Linked DNA regions of Drosophila melanogaster. The protein of the gene in region 1 interacts with the protein of each later gene in a pairwise test. Each region holds a gene or a part of one and is shown on either strand. Other genes may lie near its edges.

Region 1 (4,164 bases):
TAATCCAGAGGAATTGGGTCGGAAAATACAAAATTGCGCTTTGAATTATGTTGCATTAGCGGTATAGGCTCCGAGAAGTAGAATGTTCGCATAACTGGTTTCGTAGGCGATTTCTTCTTATATGTGGTTTCTGGCATTTGTGTTTCCTCCACCTCTTTAATGATTCCTATCCGGGACTCATTCTGTATATTCCGGTATTTGCTATACGTAATTTCTTTCCTATTTAAAAGAGCGTACAGACGACGGCGTTTCATGATCTTCGACTCTAAGGACTCCGAATAAGTTGGCGGTTCCATCTTTTTGTTGATTTCAGAAGCAAGTATTCTGCTGCACTTAAAATTGTTCCAAACGCGAGTAATAGCCGCACTACCGCCAAAGGACGTGGGTCCCTGGTAAAACGGCGAGCTTAACGTGAAAAGTTGCTTAGTCCCAGAGAATGTTGGATGTGCTGACTCGTTACGTAAGTCGCTACTAGTGGCGTCGCTCATACCCTTCTGAGAAAAATCAAAATCTTTCGACATCATGCCTGCTTACTTTCAGAAGGAAAATAATACGAAAATGATTAGTCTATATGAAAAAGATTCAAAGTTTTCCAAAAAAATATACCTTCCGGAGTTTGATATGTTTCAGCTTGCAATAATACAATCACTAAGACTTGTCTTAGATTTCGAAGCCTACTATGGAAATCACCACAAAACAAGAGAGAATGCTATAGAAGATTTTTTTTGGCAAATGGATAGAAATTTACAACACTAATACAATTTTTAAAAAATATGCAACAATTTTTAAAAATGTGGTCGCGGCACATTTAGGCGGTTTAGGGCGTTAGAGTGTGTGTGGCAAAAATTTTTTTCTGCAAATCGATAAAAATTTACAAGACAAATAAAAACGTAAAAAAATACCAAAACATTTTTCAAAAGTGTGGGCGTGGCTTACTCTACGAGTAACGGGTATAAAAGTCAGTATGGCAACCACCTGCAGTGTTACCCATATTTATCGTGTAAAATTATTCATAGAAACAAAGCGTCTTGGCATTAAATGTCACTTCAAATAATAAAGAAACGGAAAATCATGAATATTTTGATTATGTACTATTTATATTTCGGTAAAAGACGTAAATTGCATAATGAAACATTATCATTGTGATTAAAATCCTCTTATCTTATCACTCATTCAAAAATTGAGATGTGCTGCAATGTGAGTCGCCAATACAGTTGCGTCGTTATAGGAGTGCTGGCCCTTATTGTAGCGTCCTTAGATCTAGGATACCGAACTCATCTGCTAGGTAAAATAGTGCCATATTATGCATTTATATATTAGTTAATTTCGTAGCCACATATGGTTTGAATCGTTGGATACTGGCATCTGTGATTGCCTGGTTGCTCATAATCATGGCCGCAGTTGTTCTGATTGTAGGCGCAATAAAGGCAAGTAATTATTAAAGAAACGAAAAGAAATGTAAATTTTTCTAATTGTAGAAAATAACTACTCTTCTGCTGATTTGGATAATAATCGTACTGATTGTCGGAATTGCTCAAATTTTTATAAAAATTGTGTTATTCACTCCAGCCAAAAACATTCATCCAAGTGACGCATACTATATTCTTGCAGGCGGCTTTATAATACTTCTAATACGTAATTTAACAATTCAAATTTTCTTTTTAGCAATATTTTTACGACAATTTTTTTCCAGTGTTGGTATTTTGTTCCGCATACTACCCTTATGCATACAAACGTGAACTTGAAGAAGAGGAATACGAATAAATTAAATTTTCAATATCAACGTGTCTTTTATGAAACCACATTTGAAATCTACGATTTTCATTTTAGCAAAACTCTTGAGCCACTTTTAATTACTACCATTTTCATTTTTGTAAAATTCTTAGTAACAAATGACATAAGTTTCTGAATATTTCATAACTCTATTTTTGGGTTAACTAACATGTTAGTTGACTTGTATATCAAAACCTGTGTTAAATATCAATGAAAACCAAAGTAATTTGGACTTAAATGTCAAATAATTCTGTAGATATTCTGTATAAATGCTTTTTACATAAAATTTATATTTCTCTTTCCCTTGCAAAATTCATAATGGTGAAAAATAATAACATTCCATCGCATCCTGTAATTTTCGGATTTATAAATTTTGGAATTATTATCTACAGAACCGATTGAGATGTGCTGCAATGCCAACCGCCAGCTATTATGTATCTTTACCGGAGCATTGGCGATACTGATATCAACTTTATGTTTAGGATTCATGCTTTACCGGCTAGGTAAAGTAAGGTTTATAAAAAATATACTATTATAACAATGTTTTTAGGCACGACTGGTATAAACCATTGGGAGGAGGCGTACCTGGTAGCCTGGGCTGTCATTATTTTAGCAGCGGTACCTCTAATTGTAGGAGCAATAAAAGCAAGTAAGCGCGAAGTAATAAATATCCAATATTACCCATGTCCTGTTTTAGGAAATTCGCTATCTTTTGGTGATTTGGATAGTAGTCGCTTTAATAAGCGGCATTTCTCTGATAGTTATTCAAATAGAAATGTTTCATAGCTTTTTTCATAAGGATCCTGATACAGCCTTTCATATTCTCGGTGGTATAGTCATTATAGTTTTCGTATGTATGTTAACGTAGTTGTATTATAATTTTCATTTTAATAATAAAAAATTTAATTTTTCAGTATTGCTCTGCTGTTTTCTATACTTCCCATATACGTATGCGCGTGAGCTGGAAGGAGATTAATACGGATAAAACGGATAAAAAATATCCAGTGTCTTGGACTTAAATTTCAAACAAAATTATCAGTTTGAAACCATTTTTTTTTTTTTGTATATTTTTAGTTGCTTAAATCAAATGTTGTTTCCTGTGGATATATGGGAAATACTTTAAAATTGGAAAAATAAAACTACAATGTGCTTGAATGCGAACCAAAAGCCTTGTTGCGTGATAATTGCCTTGGTTGCGATTTTTGTCGGAACTATAGAGACATCTTACGAGTGCTTTCATTTAGGTAAGAATTATTCTACTATAAAGCTACCAAAATAATATCTGCATTATATTTAGCCTTGCATGGTATGAACAATTGGTTAGTGGCAGCATTGATCGCATGGATTCCCATTTTTATTGCTGCAATTTTTCTGATTATTGGTGCACTTAGGGTAAGTATTCGCTAGTAAAGACAATCTATGTTTAATTTAAGATACAAATGTTTTCTCAAGGAAATACCTATTCTTCTGCTTATCTGGGTAATAGTGTCACTGATTTGCGGAGGTGCTTTGATAATTATAAAGATCGGATTGATGATATACCTGAATAGGCTTCGTATATATCTAGATATTGTGGTCGCCATTTTGAATGTAATATTTTTAAGTTAGTCAATTGGAACTAAAATTTTCGCTAGTATATGAATAATACGACCAATTTTTTTTCAGTGCTGGTCTTCGTTTGGGCGGCCTATCCTTATGCATACATGCGTGAACTGAAGGAGCAGCAAATGATTTGAAATTATCACTTGGGCGTAGATGATGGAAATATCATAAATAATGGCAGTGCTGAAATTATTAAGAAATATTACTGAGCCCATTTATAAAAACTTCTTTATATTATGTAATTTCCAAAAAGGGGGAATTTTGGTTATATATTTTTAACAATGATCAATAAACGTTAAGCCACGTTTGTCTGTCCGCTTTTACTAAAAATCAACATACAGACTGTGCGATATTCCGACTCTGTTGCATGACTTCAGTTTTTTTTATTAAACAAATAGCAGCCAGTGACCAGGGGATGCGAATTTGCATAAAATAACAGAGGCAATAACAATGGGTGACAACAAATCAAATGCAAATGGTAAACCGACCGCAAATAGAAAGTGAAAATCAAATACAAAACGCTACCGTTTATTTCTGTGCTTTCGTATCTCGGCACTTTCTGGCCGATTTTTGGGTCTTTTGTGTTTATTTGTCGGGCGACTAATTTAAATAAACATTTGTTTGCACAAAGGCTTTAATACGTTTGGCAAATGACTTCCTGAATTGTGTGCTGCATATACCAGGGTACCAGCCCAACTGTTGGCTACTCGGATTGCATAATCAGTGAGACAAATGCCGTGGATTATGAAATCCTTCGCTCACAGCCTGCAAACCCAGCAGAAAACACGA
Region 2 (3,749 bases), on another chromosome or scaffold:
ATCGAAGCACAAAAAAAAAAAAACACGACTGTTCGCTTTGAAGTTAGGATATTGATATTTAACTTTCCTCCAATATACACTAGTCCGCATAAGTATTTGGACAAAATAAACGCTGCACATTTGTCAGTGAAACTTTTAAATGGTTTGATATGGTAGTATTGATTATTTTGTATTTTTTTGTGTTTTTAATTAAACTTAAAAAGTTATAAACAACTTAATGAAACATGATAATTTTTTGTTTGGCATTATATTTTGACAAACTCATTTAGTAAATGGTGTTCTGCTTTTGAGCACGTGTTAATCAACAATTGTTTAAATTGAACTTTTTTGGATATTGAACTTTAATAAAAAACAAAAAATTAATTGATAGCCATGGGTAAAAAGGCTAAGTTAAGTTTATTTATTAGATCAATGGTTGCACAGTTTAACGTTGGAATTAAAGTAAAAAACATTGCAAATGAGTTTAATGTGTCGCGACAAGCTGTGTATTATCAAATTAAAAAGTTTAAGAAACATAATGACTTAAACCTAAACAAGAACAGGCCGTTGCAACGCAGTGGAATCTGACCTCCAGCCTTCCGAAAAGTGAACGTAAGGCAATCAGTGAGTGGACATTTCGTCGACGTTTAAAGGAACAGGACACTGCTAATCAGGTATATTTTTAAAAATTAACTAGCTTAAAAGGCTGAAATTTGCAAAGGAATTGGCTTTCTTTATGTCAAAGCAAACGAAGATATTAGTAAGTGGCTAGTCATTAGTAACTTCTAGGAGAACAGGTAAATAATCTGAACTGAGAGTGTTTATTACTCGCGGAGTTATAAGATATTGTGGGCGATTTGTTAGGAAAAAGTTTAGAGTACATGGTTGACCGTGCTTTCCTGCAGGCATATAGGTGTGGTCAAGGGGATACAGTATTTAAAAGTTGTTGCTGTCAACTTTGGATTTTAGCAGGTTACCCCACGAGTTTGCCCGGCGACATCCCCAAGACTGGTGTCGGCAATTTAGGTCACCTCCTACAATATAAGGCACATTTGCGCTGCTTAATTGGCGAATGTCGGACAAAAAGAGTTGATTTTTCTGAGGATTTACTTGACCTCATGGAAAGTAACAAGACTAAATAAATGTCTGAGTGCCAACTATATTAAAAATATTTACGCCAATAGGTAGCAGGAAATGGCGAATACTTGTTTATATACATGTATATTGCAACCCCTCCCCCTCTTTTGACTGTTCGATCGTTTCAATAACAGCTATAGTTGCGTATTTTAACGTGTTGTAAGATGTTTTTAACCAGGTTTCAGAAACTAGGCAAATGTCAACATTATTACTATATAGAAATTGAGAAATTGATAGTCAGAAACGCTTCCTTTTGCCTGTTACATACTTTCAACGAATCTAGTATATCCTTTTTCTTTACGAGTAACGGGTATAAAATGGTTAGAATTCCGTCGTGCAATGCAATGTATTTCTATGTTTTTGAAAAACATTCCAAGCCAAATTATATGCACTCGCGTGATGGCTCTATAAAAATAAAATTTTTCAATGTGAAACACTCAATCAAATCAACAATCTTAGGCATAACTAGAATCTGCAGGATTAATCTTAACTTTGTAGCTTTTATAGTTCCCAAAATTTCGACGTTCATACGGACGGAGAGAGTTACAACAAAGACACTACAATAACAAAATGCGTAACGCCATACGATTTTTTTTTTGGCGTGGCTCTAGAGGTGGCTCCAGGGTCTCTCGAATTTTTGTTCAAGAGCGAGAGAGCGGAAAGCTGTACAGCGAACGTTTCATTTCTACGCATACATTCTAGTTTCTTTGTTTACTACTATGGTGATCTAAACGAAATATAACAATATAAACATTTATTTTAAATGTGGTGGGATAATGCATTACATTATAGGCAAAATAGTGGATATTTTACAATCTCAATGTATGTACTTTTTACAAGGAAGTAAAAGTGAAAGCATAGAAACCATCACAGCACTCGTTTCTTGAAAATCATATCATTATTACTTTGTCTTTTTTTTCAAACAGATTTCGTCTTTACCGAAAAAAATTATTATCGTGTCAGTAAAAATTCTGCAAATGATGCGGCCTTGCTGCTGTTCGTAAAATAGTAATTAACGGGGCAATCAGCATTGCAGCGCCCAGGGGACCGCATTAGAGTCAACTCCTTTAGCAACAGAATGGAGGACACAGATCAGGAAGACCTGCTGGCTTTCGAGCGTCGGCTGGCTGAGGTGGTAAACACTGAGAAACGGAGTTCACTCCGCTGGCGCTTTGTTCTGGGCGCCATCTTCGCCTGCTCGGCGATCAGTGCCTGTCATTGGGTTCGGGATGCCAAGGAAAGCGAGTCGGTGGTTTTCCAAATCCTGTCCAGTCAAAGCGCCTTTGCCTTCTCCCTGGCAACCATATGCCTGCTAATCTTTTATGGATTCAATCACGCCACTAAGCAGGACCCCAGTATCCTGCGTGACACCCAAGAAATGCTGTCTCCGTTCCGCCTTAACATTGATAACCAGGGACGTCTCATCCTACTTCCACGGCAGACAGAGTAGCTGAATATATGTATATCCCCAAAAACACATTTTTATTGACGGCGTTCCAGTGGAATAAATGATCCAGTCAATAAATGATCCAGCTAGTCAAATAAATGATCCTCAAAAATGGAAATGGACTAGGTATTGCACACCATGACAAATTTCGCGAGGTGACTTCTTGAAACTAATTGTTTTTTATTTACTTTTGAAACGTTATAAATTTTATTTCTAGTTAATTAGCGCTTAGACTAGCGACGACAACAATACAAAAAAGTTCGCTGACAATAATGCTTAGCGATCAAGAAGCGAAGAGTGGACTTAAAAACATGCATTGCATAGAAATGACCGAGATAGAGGGCTGTTAGTGCTGCGGCCTTAAATTATAAAAGGCTACAGAATTCGATTTTGCTGTTATGAAATCAAAAGGAGTTGGCTGCTGTCGACACAACAAAAGTGGGCATAAGTATTTAGACAATAAATACATTCAATATATTTGTTTATAACTCATTGTTTACTTAATGGGAAATTGTTTAATAATTTTCGTATATATGTAGAATATACATATACATATATATGTATTTATATGTATATGTATATGTATATATGTAGTAAAATAATCATATGGATTATTTAAATGTCATAAATTTAAAAGAAAAAAATCAACAAAAAAATTATAACAAATTAATAAAAAATATACCCTCTCTTAGCGTCTATCAACTTTTGGAGACGTTTTGGTACAGAGTGTACCAAACTGTGGTTATAATCTATTGAAATATACTTCCATAAGGCTTGAATTTCCAAAATCGTTTCTTCGCGACTCCTAGATATGTTTGCACGCCTTTTCTTTATACATATATGACCAGAGGTTTTCTATTATGTTGAGGTCTGGACCTTGAAATGGCCAACCCAATGTGTTTACGTTAACATTTTTCAGAAACTGCGTAATTAGCTTGGCTGGAGTATATAGGACTCCCCAAAAAATTTATCACCAGAGGGGAATGCATGATGCTGCGCAAATGGGATACATTATGGAAAATCACTAAAGCATTACTGTTTTTTTTGAAATAATTGAAGTGGCCGGTTTGGACCACCCAAATACGCCACTCCCCTTCCCGTAAAGAGAACCCTATACTTATACTTGGGCTGGGACTGATGGATATAGTATGGGAAATGGAGTTTCTTCTATTTCTTTTTGTTGTGT

Evidence for each region.
Region 2: the proteins of CG42690 (region 1) and Cnep1r1 interact in a two-hybrid assay, tested with the Drosophila melanogaster proteins (one large-scale study listed by BioGRID).

The regions. Positions count from the first base shown.
Region 1 is NT_033778.4:19,943,693-19,947,856, reverse strand, and holds CG42690 (uncharacterized protein), read left to right. Parts: upstream 1-1,979; 5' UTR 1,980-2,176; coding exon 2,177-2,276; intron 2,277-2,323; coding exon 2,324-2,418; intron 2,419-2,470; coding exon 2,471-2,627; intron 2,628-2,687; coding exon 2,688-2,749; 3' UTR 2,750-2,917; coding exon of another isoform or gene 2,918-3,017; intron 3,018-3,070; coding exon of another isoform or gene 3,071-3,165; intron 3,166-3,225; coding exon of another isoform or gene 3,226-3,376; intron 3,377-3,438; coding exon of another isoform or gene 3,439-3,509; 3' UTR 3,510-3,594; downstream 3,595-4,164. Other genes in the region: CG30447 (uncharacterized protein), read right to left, coding at 1-524; CG42691 (uncharacterized protein), read left to right, coding at 1,186-1,285, 1,333-1,427, 1,479-1,635, 1,694-1,764; CG43195 (uncharacterized protein), read left to right, coding at 2,918-3,017, 3,071-3,165, 3,226-3,376, 3,439-3,509.
Region 2 is NC_004354.4:22,943,291-22,947,039, forward strand, and holds Cnep1r1 (CTD nuclear envelope phosphatase 1 regulatory subunit 1), read left to right. Parts: upstream 1-2,030; 5' UTR 2,031-2,194; coding exon 2,195-2,566; 3' UTR 2,567-2,718; intron 2,719-2,780; 3' UTR 2,781-3,049; downstream 3,050-3,749.